2 linked regions of the Mytilus edulis genome follow. The protein of the gene in region 2 binds, or shares a complex with, the protein of the main gene of each other region. Links are inferred from orthologs where the notes say so. Each region holds a gene or a part of one and is shown on either strand. Other genes may lie near its edges.

What was found.
Region 1: the proteins of DNA repair protein REV1-like (region 2) and DNA polymerase kappa-like are in contact, whole or in part, in an NMR structure (PDB 2LSI), measured with the Homo sapiens proteins. The link is inferred for Mytilus edulis from reciprocal best matches to the Homo sapiens genes REV1 and POLK. Residues at the interface, in NP_057400.1 of Homo sapiens: Asn1158, Leu1159, Ala1160, Gly1161, Ala1162, Asp1167, Leu1171, Leu1172, Glu1174, Trp1175, Thr1178, Ile1179, Met1183, Glu1185, Asp1186, Gln1189, Val1190; in NP_001374042.1 of Homo sapiens: Lys564, Lys565, Ser566, Phe567, Phe568, Asp569, Lys571, Arg572, Arg575.

What each region holds. Positions count from the first base shown.
Region 1 is NC_092347.1:19,013,687-19,024,868, reverse strand, and holds the start of DNA polymerase kappa-like, read right to left. Parts: upstream 4,338-11,182; 5' UTR 4,199-4,337; intron 1-4,198. UniProt on the Homo sapiens protein: DNA polymerase specifically involved in DNA repair. Plays an important role in translesion synthesis, where the normal high-fidelity DNA polymerases cannot proceed and DNA synthesis stalls.
Region 2 is NC_092347.1:84,714,458-84,725,228, reverse strand, and holds the start of DNA repair protein REV1-like, read right to left. Parts: upstream 4,547-10,771; 5' UTR 4,418-4,546; intron 1-4,417. Other genes in the region: perivitellin-2 67 kDa subunit-like, read left to right, coding at 6,975-7,202, 8,922-9,502, 10,551-10,710. UniProt on the Homo sapiens protein: Deoxycytidyl transferase involved in DNA repair. Transfers a dCMP residue from dCTP to the 3'-end of a DNA primer in a template-dependent reaction.

The sequences.
Region 1 (11,182 bases), about 66 Mb from region 2:
AAGGTCTAATGAAACTCAGATAGTTTCAAACATTTGTCAAAGAATTCTAGTCAAACTGGCACCTAGTTAAATTGGCACCTGAACGTCGTAGGAAGGCGTCCCAGAAAAATAATAAAATAGCCTTGCCAGACGTCATAATTATTTGGACTAATACATGAGATATTGTGTATTTTTCTGCATTATTTTAACCAGTTGAGCATTTTACAGGATTGTTGGTTTAATGCTGTTTAAACTTTACTGAAAAACAAACACCTTAAATTTGCTAATTATTTGGCATGAAAGTTTGATTTATTGAAAGGGACTCATAGTTTTCCATTTTATTTTAATAATTGACTTGTTTTTACAATTACACAAATTGTCTAATTGTTAAAACAACAGCTTTGGTAAGGGCTTCGTTGTTTACCTTTATACACTACATATTCACTTTCGTTTCGTGGTTTACCAAAATACACAACAACATATTCACTATGTACTTGGTAACAGTAATTAATTAATTGAATAGAAAATATTATATCAAATATTATTGGATGCCGAATTGACGTCGAATAGGTGCCGATTTGACTAGATGCCAATTTAACCAGGTGCCGACTTGACTTGTACGTTTCAATTCCTCTGCGATCGTTTGCGGTATTTTCTTGAGAAAACCTATTTTCCATCATCAAAGAGAAGAAGAAACTGCTTTAAAATGATTCTGGAACGCTTCATGATTGTTAAAATAAGTTTAATTCACTCAAAAACAATTTTAAAACTTGCGATTAAACAGGAAGTTTCCAAAGCACGTGTAAAAGAAGAAATTAACCGGTGAGAGTGGAAATCCGTATATGACAGATATCCCTATAGTACGACTTTGAAAGTAAAACAGTTCAATCCTTTTGTAAAACAATCTTTAATATACCTATCACATTAATGTTTGAATGGTCTTAAGCTTATTCAAACCATATAAGTCGGTATGAAACACCAAAACGGAATGAACAATAACCGATTACGTTTTGTAGTTTACAAATTCTAAAACTGGTTCCCGTCAAACTACAACACTTTGTTCGAGTGTAGTGGAATACAAGCAAAAACCAGTGTAAACTGGGTCCTGGCTGGTTTAATACTACACAATGATGCATAATGATAACACAAGCAGATTCCAGTTTGTTTGGAAAATAGGAAATACGAAACCAAGCGCGGTAGGCAGAGCAATGTAATGAAGTTCAGGTCGGCAGTTATGGAACAATGACTGCGTCATTTTCCAAAAATTACCAATTGGAGGGCAGCAACCCAACAACCAGTTGTCCAATTCATCTGAAAAATTCAGGGCAGATAGATATTGACTTGATTAACAATTTAACTTCTTGTCTGATTTGCTCTAGATGCTTTGGTTTCATAGTTATAAGCCAAAAACTGCATTTTACCCCTATGTTCTATTTTTAGCCGTGGCGGCCATCTTGGTTGAATGGCCAGGTCATCGGACACATTTTTCAAACTAGATACCCCAAAGATGATTGTGGCCTAGTAGTTTCAGTGGAGATTTTGTAAAAGATTACTTAGATTTATGAAAAATGGTTAAAGATTGACTATAAAGGGCAATAACTCCTAAAGGGGTCAACTGACCATTTTGGTCATGTTGACTTATTTGTAGATCTTACTTTGCTGAACATTATTGCTGTTTACAATTTATCTCTATCTATAATAATATTCAAGATAATAACCAAAAACAGCAAAATTTCCTCAAAATTACCAACTCAGGGGCAGCAACCCAACAACCAATTGACCAATTCATCTGAAAATTTCAGGGCAGATAGATCTTGACCTGATAAACATTTTTATCCCATGTCAGATTTCCTCAAAATGCTTTGGTTTTTGAGTTATAAGCCAAAAACTGCATTTTACCCCTTTGTTCTATTTTTAGCCATGGCGGCCATCTTGGTTGGTTGACCAGGTCATGCCACACATTTTTTAAACTAGATACCCCAAAGATGATTGTGGCCAAGTTTGGATTAATTTGGCCCAGTAGTTTCAGAGGAGAAGATTTTTGTAAAAGATTACTTTAATTAACGAAAAATGGTTAAAAATTGACTATAAAGGGCAATAACTCCTAAACGGGTCAACTGACCATTTTGGTCATGTTGACTTATTTGTAGATCTTACTTTGCTGAACATTATTGCTGTTTACAGTTTATCTCTATCTATAATAATATTCAAGATAATAACCAAAAACAGCAAAATTTCCTCAAAATTACCAATTCAGGGGCAGCAACCCAACAACCGATTGACCGATTCATCTGAAAATTTCAGGGCAGATAGATCTTGACCTGATAAACATTTTTACCCCATGTCAGATTTGCTCTAAATGCTTTGGTTTTTGAGTTATAAGCCAAAAACTGCATTTTACCCCTATGTTCTATTTTTAGCCGTGGCGGCCATCTTGGTTGGTTGACCGGGTCACGCCACACATTTTTTAAACTAGATACCCCAATGATGATTGTGGCCAAGTTTGGTTTGATTTGGCCCAGTAGTTTCAGAGGAGAAGATTTTTGTAAAAGCTAACGCCGGACGACGACGGACGACGGACGACGGACGCCGGACGCCGGACGCCGGACGCAAAGTGATGAGAAAAGCTCACTTGGCCCTTTGGGCCAGGTGAGCTAAAAAATTGATTTCTTCTGCAGAAAGACTAAATTTCTTTAAAAGAGCCAGCAGTTTATGAAGAGGTAAGGTAGCAGAAACAAATCATACCCATTGACTTGGAGGTAAATAAAAGTTTGATGAATTATACCCTGTTCACACTATGCCCTTTTAAACCAGGGTCGACCCAATTAATTAATGCGGGTTAAATTTAGGTAGTGTGAACGCCTTAATCTGGGGCGAACCCAGAATAAAATTACCCCTCATTCAAGGTGGAGTTAATGAGGGGCGAACCCAGGTTAAATACTTCACTTCTAAATGTGAATGCAAAGTAAAGTTAATGTGAGGTTGTTGCTATAGTGATGTTTGCTTAAATACGTTTTTAATGTGACGTGACTATTAATTGAGGTCATATATATATCGAATTACCTCAAATTTTGACAGACGTCCAGTTACCATATTTACAATGTCACTAATTATATACCCCATATTAAATTAGCAACAGCAAGAGCAATATATACATGTAAGTGTATAAATCTTTGTTTAAAAAAACCTGCATGTTGACAAAGATCGACAAACGATTAAACCTATATCATCTCCATTGTTTTTTTGGGCGAAAATGGGTGCAATTTGGATAATGTGATGTTATTCAAAAACACGGAAAGTGGTTGATGGATCTTGATGGTGATTGACTCACCAAAGTGACCAACTTGCGTGCTGCAAAAAAAAAATCAGACTTTAAAATAATGCATCTGTGATGAATGACTTTATGTCCTGTGACTTTTTGTCCTGTGACTTTCTGTCCGTTTACCTAGTGATTATACCTTTATAGAGGGATAAAATGACCCCTCTATGGACAGATCTTTTTGTTTAGACTGGATTTTTAGCAAATTAAGGCATATTGGCATTCTATACTTATTATGGCAGTAACCTGCAACATTTGATGCACCAATTGATGTGCTTAGTTTAATATGCATATGCCCAGTTTACTGCTGAACTGACTGAATATACAATCTATTGTTCACCATGATTGAAAGCTGTGATGATCAGGTAAATTCTACTCAGTTATGTCTCACTGAACAGAATTTCTATTGTTAGATTTATCCACAGGAGTTTGAAATCCTATCAATAAGGGGGAAGAAGCTCTACTGTGATAGTCGACTTTGGTATATTTTTACCCCCTTATTGATAGGATTTCAAACTCCTGTGCTCTGACTATAAAAGGATTATCCCTCTAGGCTCTATCCTTATAAAAAAGGTATAAACACCATATACGAGGGGGGATAGGAGGGGTCCTGATCCCGAAATCCCGGGCTTAAAAACACGAAATCCCGAGGTCCCGAATTTAAATAAAGTAAATCCCGACGTCCCGAAATCAGAAAAAAAGTATTCCCGGATCCCGAAAGGGTCAATCCCGAAATCCCGAGCTTAAAAACACCCGATCCCGGAGTCCCGATAAAGGTCCTATCCCCCCTCATATACTGTATAGAGGGTTTGTTCCCAACCTGTTAAATATTTGCTCATTTGTTATGATGAACGTTGTACTTTTAACATTAAAAATTTAATAAAGGGATTCGTCGTTTACCACTGCAATGCACTTGCTGTATTGTAAAGTTGCTGTTGTTGAGGATGGTATAGACCAGTGACCGCGATGTTTACCACATTTTTTTTTGCTGAGTTACATTTCCCGCAATTTTTTACCAAAGAGTAACAGAAAGGGAAGTAACTATCCCACAAGTTCCTAATATGAGCCCTACATTGTTTAAACTTTTCATAAATGATTTACCTGAAATATTTGATTCTAGCTATTGTCCAGTTTTACTAAACAACAGTAGCCTTAACTGTTTAATGTATGCAGATGACCTCATTATGATTTCTGAAACTTCATCTGGATTACAAAATTGTTTAGATAATTAATGGATTATTGTAATAAATGGGGACTAGAAATTAACATGAAAAAAACAAAAGTATTAATTTTTAATAACACAGGAAGAATATCAAAAAAAAATTCACATTTAATGGTCAGCTTATTAATAATGAGAAAAAATATAATTATCTTGGCATGATATTCACTGTATCTGGCAGATTTACACAGATGCTAATAATTAATTAATTAACTTAAGTTTAATCTTTATAACTTATGGTATGATACTAAACCCCTAACGGGAAGGATTGTGCCTGATGTTCATATGATGAAATCATAATCTTTCAGTCAGTTTAATTGAAGTCTGGAGCTGGCATGTCAGTTAACTGCTAGTAGTCTGTTGTTATTTATGTATTATTGTCATTTTGTTTATTTTCTTTGGTTACATCTTCTGACATCAGACTCGGATTTCTCTTGAACTGAATTTTAATGTGCGTATTGTTATGCGTTTACTTTACTACATTGGTTAGAGGTATAGGGGGAGGGTTGAGATCTCACAAACATGTTTAATCCCGCCGCAATTTTGCGCCTGTCCCAAGTCAGGAGCCTCTGGCCTTTGTTAGTCTTGTATGATTTTAAATTTTGGTTTCTTGTGTATAACTCGGAGTTTAGTATGGCGTCCATTGTCACTGTACTATTATGCATATTTTAGGGGCCGGCTGAGGGACACCTACGGGTGCGGGAATTCTCGCTGCATTGAAGACCCATTGGTTGCCTTCGGCTGTTGTTTGCTCTATGGTCGGGTGGTTGTCGCTTTGACATATTCACCATTTCCTTTCTCAATTTTAGTAAAGCATTAAAAGCCTTTTTTAAATAAAAAAGATTTTTCACCCATTTTAAACCTAATATTAAAACACTTTTACATCCAGGGCCGTAACTACATGGAGGCAAATGAGGCAAATGCCTCATGTTGGAAATTTGAAAAAAAAAATTGAAACAAAAGCTTGTCTTCATATCAAATTGTTTTCACGGTGAGTGTCTTGCAAGAAGCAAGTTCTCTTCACTCTCTGATGTCGCCCCTGCATGTTCTCTTCACTATCTGATGTCGCCCCTGCATGTTTTTCGTGATCTATGTTTCTAATTTACTTTTAGTTTTCAGTGTTGATGGTCTTTTGTTTGTAGTTATGTGTCTTATCTGTACCCGGGTTTGTCTTTTGTTCATTTATTGTCCTACTTTATGACTATAGTCTAAGTGATGATTTTCTTTTGTAAATCTAGTAATTTTGTTTAAAACTTGAGTTTTCTTATACTGAAGGACCTTTTGTCTAATTGAAAAAACTACATTCAATTGTAAGAATATTTGAAATTAGATCTACGATGACGGGTGAACGGTTGTATGGTTTTTGGCAATGTTGCATGTCCACCGATGTCCAGACATTGTGCGAGAAAATATTTTAAGAAGATACGATGCTACTGGACACAGAAAAATTGGTCGTTTCTTCATGAAGAATTGAATTTAATATTAAAGAATACAAAACTGGCTCTCTTTTTTGTAGATAAAACTAGATAGCTGACATGGGTTAAATTAAAGTGAGACCACCAATCTCGCGGTATCAAATCATTTGAAAAAAAACCAACAATGTATTGCCATATATGACCTTTTACATTGAAGCGCTTGCAATTAAGTCGTGATCAGACCCTTTAATACAAAATAAAGGAATATGGAGTAAACGTGCACGGGACTTAATCGCACACAGAGTCAATACATAGAAAAAAATACAAATTATCTATGATCAGGGTTTTTATCCCTGTTCTTCATCTTGATAGTCGCTAACCTGAGGGTCTTCAGCAATGAAAGAATCATTAATACCATAAAACAAAGTCAAGATGGTCCCTAATGTCGACTTAAGCGGTACTTAAAGTATAATACTGCACTGTCACTATATCTAAATTCAGTCATATTTTTTTTCTTCCAAAGTCTAAACACAATACAAGACAAGAACAGACAGATCTGGTATCAAAATGATTATGAGAATTACGATTTTTGCTTTATCCTACATATCGGTCTTTTGATGTTGTCCCTTAAACCTAAAAGTTTTTATTTACAATGAATCTATATATTTTGCTTTGAGACCAGAATATTGTCGAAAAAATAGCTAAAAATTTAATTGCGTTTCAGAGTAAGAAAGAGTCCGGGAAACGGTCAGAATGCACGATTTTGCGTCATTTTTTTCAGAGCTTCTGAGGGCCTTGAGCGGCCTCCAGACCCTTCGCCTCGCTTCGCTCGGCGAATATATTTTGTCTGGCGTACTAAATTATAATCCTGGTACCTTTGATAACTATTTTAAAAGAAGCTAGTTACGGCCCTGACATCTTTTTGACCACATACTGAAGCCAATTTTGTTATATGGCTCAGAAATTTGGGGCCAATTCTCTCCAAATAAGTTACAATCTAAAGAAGACAAATATTTTTTCCAAATGTGCAAAGATCTAGTTATCGAAAAATTACATGTTAAATTTTGTAAATATTCTCTACAGGTACCTAGAAGATCAACAAACCTAGCAGTGATGGGAGAGTTGGGGCGCTACCCCCTATCTCTTGAGGTTATTCTTAATATGACTAAATTTTGGCTCAGACTTGCAGAACAAAAGAACTCTCTCATTAAAGAAGCATTTGAAGAGTCCAAAATTTTATCTAAAACATATAAAGACAATTGGTTAGGAAGCATTTATTCATTATTTAAATATCTGAATTTAACCCCAGAATATTTGTTAAGGTGGTATGGGTGTCTTCCTCCATCTTGGATCGTAAAAAACAGAGAACCAAAGGTCTAGATTTTCCATCAAGTTAGCAAAATTTGATGCAGGAATAAAGATATTTAATGTGAATTTTCGTTTATAAGAACTAATTTATAAGAATATAACTTATAAATATCAATATTTTTGTAAATGTACACTATTTTTGGTTGTTTTTAGTTTTTTTTAAATTGGCATTTTAAGGGGAGGTAACTCTAAAACAGTGCATTTTCTGAAGGATTCTACGTGGAATTTTCCTATTTTGTATTTTAGTACTGATTGTGTTCACTCACTCATTATCTTTGAGAATATATACTGTGTTTGTTGTCTCCCTTCTCTTATATAATATAGTTTTTGTTTTATTGTCATGTATTGTAACTTCAATGAAAAAAATCACCACATTTGTACACTTTAATTTAAACTACTAGTATAATTGTACTGCTCCTCGGGGCGTCTTGATTGACAAAATAAAAATTATTGTTGTTGTTGTTCTGTTCTAGTATGTACAATGCACCTCCGTTTATATTAGGAGCACTCCACTTACCAGATGAGCATTTTTTGAAATACTTAACAACAATATATAGAAAAGAAATATTCGTTTGCCCATCTAGGTTTAATTTTCGAAATTTTCCGTTATCTAGCCGATTTCGCTACGAGAGAATCGAGTAAGCACTCCATCACCCCCTTTTTTCCCCCTATTTTACTTTTTCCAAAATAAATTCTTTCCCTGAAGATATGGTTATAATCTCAATCTGAGACTACTATAATGTGTTATAGTAGTCTCAGTCTCAATTCATATTTCTAATGGAGTTTGCAACCATAATTACCCATTCAAAAACAATTTAAACGAGAAAACTAATGGCCTAATTTTTGTACAAAAAATGATCGAAAAACAAATATGTGACACATTTATAACAAACGACAACTACTGAATTACAGGCTCCTGACTTAATGCTTATTTGGGCCCCTTTTTGACCCCTTATTCCTAAACTGTTGAGACCATAACCCCCATAATCACTCCCAACCTTCCTTAGCGGTTATAAACCTTGCGTATACATTTCATGGATTTCTATTTACTGAAGTTAATGTCCGGAAACAAACTGTCTTCGGACGTCGACAACGTGATACCAATATACGACCACAATTTATTTTTGCGTCGTATAAAAATTTTTTCGTTTACTTTCTCTAACTTTAGTTTGTCTCATTCAAATGGTATCATGTTTGAATTTTGGTGGTCTCACTTAAATTGTTATAGAGTTATGGCCCTTTACAAATGGATTTTTTTTTTTTTTTTTTTTTTTTTTTTTTTATATATATGCGGAATTTTTTGTTTTTGTTCTCAAGCAAACATTATGAAACTACAACGCAATGCGTATTACCATAAAAGACAGATTAAGCATGCATTTAGGTAGTTTCACTTTTATCCGATTCTTGAGTTAATATGTATCTTGATAATCCTATATCCAAGCAGGGTCATCATCTGTGTCTAATGGGCACATTCCCCATTTATCTAGATATTTGGTGCCTGTTTACCCATCATTGAAAGTCAAGTTGTGACACTCCCAAGCGTGTCTATCCCCCAAACGTGTCCGATACCCCCAAACGTGTCTATTCTCCATAAACTTGTCCGTAATATTCATTATTGCCCAAACGTGTCCGATTTCGTAACCCCAAACCTGTCCGATAATTGATAATCATAATTGCAAATTTAATCCGTAACTTATGAATTAACTTTTGACTGAAATGCTCATCGTCCAGTTGCAAATATTTCATGCGGATTTAAAGCGAACATACAAATAATTTAAGTACAGTAAAATTATTCGTTTACTGTTTTAATTATTTTGTACTAATAAACTCGGATGATGCGTTTTATATTAATCCGAATATTGCACGGCTGGCTTTCCGCAGAATTGATTTTTTCAACATTTCTGGTACTTTAAAAACCCTTCAAAGCATAAACTGTTTATCAGGTTTTTTAATAGATTTTAGATTTCGAGCATCATTAAAGACACACAAACAAGAGACATAACGTCAAGTGTCAACTATTTCTTCATATAAGAAAAAAAATAACCGTTAATGTTTTTTGTTCTTTTGTTCACTATGATTTTTTTTTTATATAAATTAGTCCGTTAGTTTTTCTCGTTTGTAAATTGTTTAATCACAGTATTTGTCATTTCGAGGGGGGGGGTCTGTTATAGCTGTCGACTATGTGGTATGGGCCAGCTCATTGTTGAAGGCCGTACGGTGACCTAGAGATGTTAATTTCTATGTCATTTGGTCCCTTCTGGAGAGTTGTCTCATAGGCAATCATACCACTTCTTTTTTATATTTATTATTTATGGACAAGACCGGGAAATTTGTCCAAATCTGTAATTTTGCACGAATATTTCTGGACTTTGTGCAACCATATAGCTCGTGAAATAGTTGCAGGTATATTTTTTTAAAACGTGTGAGTACTTCTGAAGCGACTTTTAAGTGACATATTGCTCGAAGAACGCATTTAGTGATGATAGCCATGTTGTTCATATTTAAATACATATCATGACACACTCGTTCATATGATCTTTGCTTAACCAACTCTAAACCGATTTAATTGGTTATAATTCGACAGTAAATCCATATTTCTACATTATCTATATGAAAGTGTTACTTTAAAACACAAAGGGATGTTTACCTTTGAAAATATCACATGCGTTGCAAATGCATCTATTTAAAAAAAAAAACCACTATTTAATCTTTCGGGTACGCAAATACAAAAGCCATATTGTAAATAAATGTTCGATCAATTATTTTCTTCAAACTGTGTTCGAATACGGCATTTCAAAATTTTATGTTTTACAGTGCAAGTGCTCGAACACAGCATGGAAACTATACAGCATGTATATGCAATGCATATAATATTTGTTTGCTGTATCTTCTGTGTGTTAGGAGATAATATATCAACCTAAATGAGGGACCTATATAATTTAGCATTTAAGGAGTTTGATGCGCAGAGATACAACCTACGCCTAGGGACAACGGTACAATTTAACATAAATGTGATGTTCCATTTGTTTGCCTTTAACAGCTTTAAAACAACGAAGTAGATGGTGTAGTGGGAGCTATCAGTTTTTTCTGGACAGATGGATCTCTTATATGGAACAAAACATTGACGGCATACAAAAAATTGCATGTACCACAGTCAAAGGTATGGACCTCGAATGTGATTCTTGTTACAATATGATAAAATATAATTCAAAAATAAAATTGAATAAGGGTTTAAAATGTCTTTGGTGCGTTAAAATAATTAAAAGATACTAACAAAAAAATATTATGTACACAGCACAAATTGCGACAGTACCTTAAGACTTTTGAAAAAGCTTGTCAATGAGTCCCAACGATTATCTTGAGGTAAATGAGGCATAAACTAGCTCACATAAGCATTGTGACCTAGGAATTCTACTGCACGGATTCGAATTCGTCTATCTGACTTTTTCTTTCTTTTTCTCCATTATAGAATAGATTATAGAATAGAATTAAATAAGTTTATTCATAATTAATGGGCACATAAGGACCCACGGCTATATCAGATTAAAAAAACACATAACAAACAAACAAACAATACAAAAAAAAAACCCATAACTGAATGAAAGAATTACTTGATTTATAAACAGAAAAGGACAAATAAAAAAAAAACTTTATTCATGCAATACATTCACTAAATTTTATCATCGGCATAAGGACATCACTCGTAAATATAAATTAACATGTAGAATAATGATTTTTTTTTAGTAAGTCTTACTATACAAATCCTTGTGTAGACATATCTTATACGTTCAGGTATTTCACATCCAATCAAATATGGTAATATTCTTTACAAAGCACAAAACAGTCGACATTCACATCAAAAGCTAACCAAAACTTTAAACA
Region 2 (10,771 bases):
AACAGTGGTTTGTTACAATTTGAGAAACTAGAGAAAATCAAGTCATTCAAGTGATTTTTTTTAATGGTTCGTGTGGAAATAAACTTGGCAAATTGTAACAAAACCCTCTAACATCCCTTGGCCAATCTGGGTCCATTCGCACCCATTCACTTTCACCCTTTTTTACTTTCGCACCCTACCATTCCCGCCCAATTTTTATTTGCCTTGTGTTTAATAATTTGTAAACGTCAACTTTGGTAGGTGTATTGCTATAAATATATATTTTTTCATTGTTTTTAAATAAAGTAAAATTCTGACAACCAGTATTTATTTTTGTGTTGAATAATTCTTTACCATATTTTGATTAGTGTATTATAATAAATATTTTTTTTATTGTTTCTAGTAAATGAAGTGTGAATATGACAACATTATTTTGGTGTTGAATAAATGGTAATTAGCATGGTAAGTGTTTTGCTATAAATATATAATTTGTTCATTGTTTCTAAATATAGTGAGATTCTGACAACGTTTTTTTCAATGTGTTGAATCTCGAGTGTTGAATAAATCTTAATCATGTTTAGGTAAGTGTTTTGCTCTATATATCTGTTACAGTGAATTTGTAGAATCACTGGCCAGTTTAGGGATTATACATAATCACTAAAAAGTTCAGGAATTATGTATAATCACTAGAAAAAACGTCAGGGATTATACAAAATAACTGAAATGAAGAAAAGTCAAACAAGTGAAACTGCGAGCTACTGCTCACTGATGATACCCCCGCCGCAAGTGGATAATATTAATAGTGTAAAAATATGCAAGTGTTCGGTAAACAGGAAGTTGTTGAGTGATGAATCTGAAAACGCATCACACAGTAAAGCTGACTTATATAAATCCTGAAACCAAATTTCAGAAATCCTTGTATTGTAGTTCCTGAGAAAAATGTGACGAAAATTTTCAACTTGGCTATCATGTGTAAAATCATACAAGTGTTCAGTAAACAGGAAGTTGTCGAGTGATGAATCTGATAACGCATCACACGGTAAAGCTGACTTATATAAATCCTGAAACCAAATTTCAGAAATCCTTGTATTGTAGTTCCTGAGAAAAATGTGACGAAAATTTTCAATTTGGCTATCATGTGTAAAATCATACAAGTGTTCGGTAAACAGGAAGTTGTCAAGTGATGAATCTGAAAACGCATCAAACGGTATGGCTGACATATATAAATGTTGATACCACATTACAGAAGGGGTGGATGTGTCGTTCCTGAGAAAAATGTGACGAAAGTTTTGTGGGACGGACTGACTGAAGGACGGACTGATGGACGGACTTAAAAATATGCAAGTGTTCAGTAAACAGGAAGTTGTCGAGTGATGAATCTGAAAACGCATCACATAGTAAAGCTGACTTATATAAATCCTGAAACCAAATTTCAGAAATCCTTGTATTGTAGTTCCTGAGAAAAATGTGACGAAAATTTTCAACTTGGCTATCATGTGTAAAATCATACAAGTGTTCGGTAAACAGGAAGTTGTCGAGTGATGAATCTGAAAACGCATCACATGGTAAAGCTGACTTATATAAATCCTGAAACCAAATTTCAGAAATCCTTGTATTGTAGTTCCTGAGAAAAATGTGACGAAAATTTTCAATTTGGCTATCATGTGTAAAATCATACAAGTGTTCGGTAAACAGGAAGTTGTCAAGTGATGAATCTGAAAACGCATCACACGGTATGGCTGACATATATAAATGTTGATACCAAATTACAGAAAGGGTGGATGTGTAGTTCCTGAGAAAAATGTGACGAAAGTTTTGTGGGACGGACTGACTGACGGACGGACTGATGGACGGACAGACTGACAGACAGAGGTAAAACAGTATAACCCCCCTTTTTTAAAGCGGAGGATAATAATTTAAGCTATAAAATCATATTTAAACAGCATAACACTGTAAAACATCAATTGTAAAATGTTAAGCACAAAATATCAAAATGATAACCCTATTTTTTTTAAATGTTAGGCACTTTATATTAAAATGTTAAACACAATATATTAAAATAATATGCTTCACATCTGTTTTTACCACAATATCCACATTTTAGAAAATATTTTTCTTCACATATCGAATCAGATTTTATGACCCGCCTAAGAGAAATAAAGTGTTCAGTAAAAACATCTGCTGTAGGTACACCCCAAAAAAGAAAAAAAGCAACCTGGAACTGGTTCGAGCAAGATACCATGTTTTTTGGGACAGGCGATATCCTTTTTCAGACTTTTGGTGAACAATTACTAATATGTTTTTTGGATTCCCTTTCCTTTTTTACTTTGTGGAATTTCAATGAGAATATTACACAAAATGCCAGCTTCCTCTAAAATATTATTACAATTGTCAATCCTTAGTTTTTCTATACATTTCGATCTGTAAGTTCTCTGTTTGAATTTCTTGTTCATTTGAAAAAAAAAAAAAAAAATAACAGATGTTCCATAATCTTCTTCACCATTTGTTTTACATATACCACAAATAACATGCTCTGTGGATTAACAAATAGAACATGAATATCCATTTGACACTGGCTTTTAATAAACAAACAATACAAGTAAAGTAAATGCTATAAAGGGAATCTTGATATTATTATTAATTTTGTAGTCTTCAACTTTTATCTCGAAACCCTGTGTTGGTTATACATTGTATCTTTAAGACATGTAAGATTATCCTCTGTATTTAAAAGCAAAATTATTTCATTTGGCAAGGAATATGAAAGTAAAAAATGATAATTTGTCTATTATATATTTATTTTTTGTTTTTTTATGAAACAAAGGATCCTTAAATTATTCATAATCCCTGAAATTATATTAGGGAATTTGTAGAATAATTATTGAAATGTTCCGTGATTATGTAAAATTACTGGTCATTTTCAGGGATTATATATAGTTACTAATGATTTTAGTGATTCTACATATTCCCTGAAAAATATAAATTCACTGTAACATCTCTATATATCTAAACACACGAGATCAAAGGAGCCGATTATGAATGTTTTTTATTTAAAATCTTCAAAGTGTTATACTCCTACCAAGCTAATAAAACATCAATCATGATTTTAAACACTCAACAATAACACCGGATTAGGCTGTATATGAATACCAATTAGCAGTAATCATACGTAATTAACATTTAATAATTAATCAACGAAACAAAAATCTATAAAATAATTCCTCAAATTTTATTCAAGAAAATAGAATTATTTGGTATATACTGTGACGAAAAAGTTTAGTATGGGACTTGAACTAAAGTGTGTATCCGTGTGTTTGTGCTGTGTTGTTTGGTGTACAAGTTTCAGGTCGTGCCTTTCACTTGTAAACGGACAACAAATGCCACACTGTATACTCATTAACAGGGTAACCCTTGAAACCTATTGGTAGCATGATTAAGTGAATTAATCCTGGTCACATAAATAAATAAATGGATCCTGGTGCAGTTTGAACAAAGTCTTGTAAGTGAACATAAACACGAAGTGGAATAAAAGTTCAATACTGTATTAATAAAATCACACAAATATATAAAGTTACAAGTATAACAAAAAGTACATCTAACATCAGGCTCAACAATACGATTCTCCCCTCTACTACATAAACGTTACTGTCCTCTCCTTTCTATAAATTCTCTCTCCCCCTTATCTGACACTCTTTCTCTCTTTTTTATCACTCCTACAAGCCCATATACAAATATAGACTACTAGGGCAATCGGGCTCTGTGTATTCCGTGTTCCGGTAATCCTTACTCCTAGCTATAGTGTTCCTGCTCCTTACATAAATTTACTAGGGCACCATATGCAAATCATTAGGGTTCACTAGTCAAACAAAGAAATCTAAACATAACTCTTAATCAATATAATCTCTGATGATCTTTAACTGTATTAAATGGCTATGTGTGAAAATACAGGTGCATGTAAACCTGATACAATCAGATAACACACTTAAAATATATCTAATATTTCAACTGAAATTCGAATTAAAATTGGACATAAATTTATAGGGTCGGAATGGATTTACGGGGCAAACATGTGAGGTGTGAACGTGTAGGGTACGAAAGTGTATCAGCCGCGAACGGACCATTGGGGTCCCTTTGCCACAGTTTCAGAGTAATCACGGACTGTGTGTAGTCTGGTTTGTTTTGTATATTTTTACTACAATGCTTGAAAACACGTCGTATCCCTATCAAATTCTTTAGTCATTTGAGATTTTTTCTGAATTATTTGAGATACATATGTATGACCTGATGACAAAACATTCAGTAACACTCACAGCCGTGTACCCTTGTTACTGGTACATAATAATTAAGGGGGGTTATAGTATCAATTCACGAAACAGCTATACTTCGTCCCTTCTCTCTTACAGCAGGGACATAATATCGCTTTTATTTACATGAATATTACCTATATTAATGATTGTATCAATGTAAACTACGCAACATTTCCTTCTTTGCTTGGCTTGCAGAAAAACGGCGGGAATTCCGAGGATTACTTTTTCCGGTCATTCGGTATGCCTTGGTAGTCTTCATAATCTCTATTCTCTAAAAAGAAATCTCGAGCAAAGATTTTATATGCTGAGACTACTATATGTATAACACATATGTTATAGAAGTCTCATAAATGTTAGTCAGTTAAACAATATTTTATTTTCAAAAGTGCACAAAATACAATTATACAATAGAAATATAGGGATTCGGAAACAAGAAGAACTTATAAAAATCCTGGAACAATTGTACTAAATTTAATATAGTATGTCTCAAGTCCACCGGTCCTACTAAAAAGCGCCCGGAAGCGCCCGAGAGCGCCCGGGAAAAGAAAAAGCGCCCGGGGAAAGGAAAGGGCACCCGGGGAAGGAAAATTAGCGCTCGGGGAGAATAAAATAATAATATTTTATAACAATAAATTTTTTCCTTAAAAAAAAATAATCATTGCTTGTTTTGTCCTTAATATAAATGTGGATATATGGTGCCTGAAGTCTAATATTTTCGCAACTGCATGGTGAACACTTTTTTATGCAGATGCTGATATACATTTATTATATCTTTTTTATGAAACTAAAACTGTTTCAATGGCTATGCTTATCAGGGTTTTCAAGTACTGCTTATTTTTAAATTTAAACCAAACTCCTGCTTTTTACCCCCTTGTTTTAACTACGGTACATGTATAGTACTGCTTTATTTGCTGATGTATTATGTGTAACTCTTTTAATTTTGATTAAATTAATATTAATCTGTGAAATTTTTTATTTTCATATCGTTTTTGAAAAACATGCCTTTTGATGTCTTACATTTTATAAATCTTCCGCATAAACTGTGATCCATTATAATCAGTCTTTCAAAATAGTATTCATAAATTATATTATTGTTAAAATTGAAACATTCATACTTGTTTTATTACAAATGTCTATTATCTGAATTTGAAAATTACTTGTCTAAAATTTAAAAAAAATAATGTGCATAACTTATTTCATCAACACAAAGTTGTCTCATGCCAATAAAATATCTATATATTTTCCCCGGGCGCTTTTTCTTTTCCCCGGGCGCCTTTTCTTTTTCCCGGGCGCTATTTTTTCTTCCCCGGGCGCATTTTAGTAGGACCCCAAGTCCACCTTCAGTAAATATTTTTTATGCTTTCAAGTTGATCAAATGCCAGACGAGAATCAGACTGAATGTTCGATAATTGAATAGAGCTCTAACAATGGAAGTAGGCTAATATACGAAGATTTTATGGCTATACATTTACACAAGAGAATTAAGATGTTTATAAATCAAACTGAATGTTCGGGAACTGAGCAGTGGCGGATCCAGAGGGGGGCGTAGAGGGCGTACGTTCCCCCTTTGCTTGGAATTTTTTTGTAAAATGGTTAACCAGACTAGACTTCGTGAACTTTGTCATTTCCCGTGTATTTAGTTTTTATGCGACAATTCTTTACTTCGAAAGATGTTTTTCGCTCGTATTTACTTTTTTATATTATTGGTTATGTCAAAGGAGTTAACCAGTGCGTCGATAAAAAGTCACTCAGTCATTTTGAAATTCAAATTTCAGTTACACATTGCCTATGCTGAGGGTGACAAGCATGACACCTTTAAAGCGACAGTAGGTTTAAAGAGCTCTTAAGAGCTCATGTTCATTATTATTATGTATATATGCAACTTTTATCCCATTACATACAAATATATAAGATGAGACATAAATTGAGAAACATAAAAAAAACAACATATTTTTACATTAACTGTTAAATAAGGTTGGTATATATATAGTCCCATGAAGCTGTGATGAGGGTCAATCTTTAATTTAAAGAATAGAAAATGTGACTGGCTAAAAAAAAGAAAGAATACTGAGATGAATGATAAAAAAGATTAGAACAGAGAATGATGGGTGCAAAAGTATAAAGAATACAGCTGTAGAAATACAGTACTGATAAAACTGAGAAACGGAGGATAAAGAAATTTACGTACTATGATTATGCCACTATACAGAAAATTTGAATAATGAAATAGTCATTTTGTGAGAATTTTTACAGAATATTCAAACCTTCCAGCTTTTTTTTTTTATCTTCCTCGATGGAATAACAAACGATAGAGAAAATGTACAATACAACAAAAGCAAATCAACAATTAAAACAAAACATTACATAGATTCAAAACAGTTCAAAACTAGAGAGTGGAGAGACAAAATAATAACTTTAGCGGTTTATATATATGTTTTTGTTGGCATTATCAAGTCTTTCAACATATTATTATTTTGGTTTTATCTGTGGTTGCTTTTCAATTCAATCAATACAAATATATAGTTTATTAGTTTATAAAACAGTATAGCTTTTTAGTTTAGTTGCTTTTTAAAATTTAGCGTGCAAGCACGATAACAACAAAACACCAAATCTAGTTTTAAATTTCTCTGACAAAGTAACAGCTTGAGTGACTGTATGAACGCGTAGCAAGGCAAGAAATCGAAGCAAGCAATGCTGAAATTTCTTCAACTAGAAATATTTTTCCTTTGTCTTCTTTTTCCTGTTATCTTTACAGCAAAACCATGCGCAAACATTCCACCATTTCTCAACCGTTTACGAGATGGCGTTGATATAACAAAACTTGACCTACTACCATTAAGTCTGGCCAGTAACGACGGATTCAGAAATCCTGTGATTGATTATACCTGTGACTTCAATATCACAAGAAACTTGGATGGGGTAAGTAGTCATAGGATTTACATAAGTATCTAGCCATGAATTCTTACTAAATGTGTAACACGTATATGTGTCATCCAACTGCAGATTACAATATCATAACATTTTAATATTCGTGTACATGCATAATGACCCCGTGATGTATTACAAAAATGTATCTGAATGATATACTTGCGAATGTGTTTGCCTATCACAAATTCAGATTATGAAAGTTACATATCAGCATCAGGTCAAACGTTTAGAAAAATGTTGTTTGTTCTGTATTTAGACCACTCTACCAATAAATTCGTTTTCCATCCACATGTATAAAAATTGCGGTTATATTATCCAACGCAATAATAGGTTTGAACGTTATTTTCAATTTAGACTTGTATATATCTGACCGGATGGAGTGCGATATAAACTCTACAAACTATTCCTGGTAATCGATATCAGTCAACCTGGATAGTTTTAATTTTGCACATTACATTTAAACTATTCTAAACACGTATTTTATAAAGGTCAAAATCACATGTAAAAATATGCAAAGTAGCCCATCTAAAGCACACCGAATATTAAACATATACGCAGTCAATGCAAAGCAATAGGGTATCACCAGCCCAGTAGTTAGCACTTTTGTGCTGACATGAATTATCATTGATATGGTTATATTTATAAATTAACTGTTTACAAAATTTAGAATTTTTGAAATACTAAGGCTTTTCTACCTCAGGCATAGATTACCTTAGCTGGATTTGGCAAAACTTTTAGGAATTTTGGTCCTTAATGATCTTCAACTTCGTACTTTATTTGGCCTTTTTAACTTTTTTGGATTCGAGCGTCACTGAGGAGTCTTTTGTAGACGAAACGCGGTCTGGCGTATATGCAAAATTTAGTCCTGGTATCTATGATGAGTTTTTTTATTCACATATAATGAAAAAAAACCAACATGTTAAACTAAAATACGATTTTGCGCCATTCAGAAAATGTTTCATGCATATAACTAAAACAAATTATAAAAAATTTTGAAAGGTGAAATCATGAGGTGATTTTTTTTTACAATTCCAAACAAATATGAGATTTCTGACCAGTGGCGGATCCAGAAATTTTCATTATGGGTTGCAGCCAGGCCTTAATGATTCCCTATATAATCAACCAAATTTTCCCCACAACAACGGGTGGGTGGGGTGAATGGGAACACTGGACCCTTAAATTTACCTCTGTAAACTGACCCAAATAAGAATGTTTGTACAAGTTTTCCAGAAACACGCTTTTTAACACACTTTTTAAGCAATTTATTTCATTAAAATGTCTAAAGAAAACTTAGATTTAATATTACAATTTCATCACCAGCCCAGTAGTCAACACTTCGGTGTTGACATGAATATCAATAACGTGGTCAGTTTTATAAATTTCTTGTTTACAAAACTTTGATTTTTTTTTTTAAATTAAGGATTTTCTTATCCCAGGCATAGATTACCTTAGCCGTACTTGGCACAACTTTTTGGAATTTTGGATCCTCAATGCTCTTCAACTTTATACTTGTTTGGCTTTATAAATATTTTGATATGAGCGTCACTGACGAGTCTTATGTAGACGAAACGCGCGTCTGGTGTACTAAATTATAATCCTGGTACCTTTGATAACTATTCAATTGATTATTACATTTTTTCAATCAAAGTTCTTTTATTTTTATACGATAGAAACTTTTCTTACAATTGAATGTCATACAAATGTTTTCAGATTGTCTACAGCATACCAGATCAAGTTTGGAGTATTGTAAATATTCCAAGTGGATTACTTGATACCCGTGTTGAAATACATAAGAACAGTCATAGCTTTAAAAATTCCCTGGCAGTAAAAGTTGGTATAAAAGTTTTTGGAGGATTATTTTCTTCAAGCTTGACATACAAGAAAGTACAAAGCTATTTCAGCAGTGGATCAAAGTATGTTGAAGATTTGACTTCCCATACAGCTGGGTTTAAAGTGAACATGATGCCGGAATGGGGACTTGAATTCGGTCAATTTGCTAAAATTTATATTGAAAAATTCTTGCCACACCATTTGAATGATACTACTATTACGAAGTACATGAGATTCATTGAAACTTTTGGAACACATTACTTTAAACAAGGGCGATTTGGAGGTATACTTCGACTTTTCCTGGCTACCGATACAAGTTACTTTCGAAAAGGCTCGGAAAAGAATGTTGAGATAGAGGCAAAATCAATATTCAAAAAGATTCTTAGCATTGGTGGAACATTTTCTATGAGTACAAAAAGTGATGATTCAAAATTTGCAGAGGCTTCAAGGAAGTTTGTAAGGTAGGTTATTTCAATTAGATAATAAAGGATTGAAGAACATTAACATTATATAAGATAGCATATTTTATTCATCTTTATCCAATTAAATTACTAGGTACCGAGCTAAGATCTTCATTGATGCCGTTTTACTAAAATGAGGAACACGAACATGAACCAACCACAACCACTGAACTTCAGGCTCCTGACTTTGGACAAGTACATAAAGAAACGCTTAACCCTCCCTGGGACAGTGGTGTAACAGCACAACATAAAAACAAAATATAAAAATCTATTGAAAAAGGCTTAACTCATCAGACTGATACAAAGCAAAAAAACACCAAACATATATAACACAAAAAATAATTTAAAAAAAATATATCATGTAAGAATTTAGAACAAAATCTACAAACCAACAACAAGAGGAACAACGAGATAACACAACATTTGAAAAATTGATTATAAGTTGTCCTATATTTGCAAATTCATTCTACACAATATTCGAAATATATTTTCGAATTTATGCATTGGTAGACTTCGGCTAGTTTCTGCTCTTTGGTCGGGTTGTTGTCTCTTAGACACTTACCCCATTTCCATTCTCAATTTTAAATTACTTTTTTTCTCGATATTATTATGCAATACCACATGCTGTTGCTATTTGAAAAAAATCATAAATGTGCATAAATAGATCTCTAACGTACCCGTTACCTTAAATGGGCATACACATGGAAGTTTGTTTTAGAAAGGCAACGACAATAAGGGGATAACATAAAAATAATTGGCAGTTTAGAAATCTAAACTGCATTGAGAACTTATTCATTGCAGTATACAACATAATAATATATGTTTAAACCATTTTAATTTGTAAACTGCTTAGTTTTCTTGTTAATTTAAGATAATTAATAAAAAATAAATTTTGCAGGCTCTGTTTTCCCCATCAATGTTTGACAATGCTCATAGTCTTGAAATTTTAGTTGTTTAGTAAATATCGACTGTCGACCATCAAGGCCGGCTATAGTAATTAGAATCATCAACGATTGTAAATGTTGATAGTTGTTAATTTGCATTTCAGATATTATGGAGGAAAGACTAATTTACTAGCAGAAGATAGTATTTCTACATGGCAACCAACCGTATTAAAAAATCCTTGGCTTTATGGAGGGGGTTTGGTAGAAATATCTGGAATGATTGAAGGTGACACCAAGAGACTGTCCATGCAAAAGGCCGTTCAGGTAAAACCCAAAATGTCTAGAGCTTCTATTTGCATTACATTGATAATATAACTCCAATTTG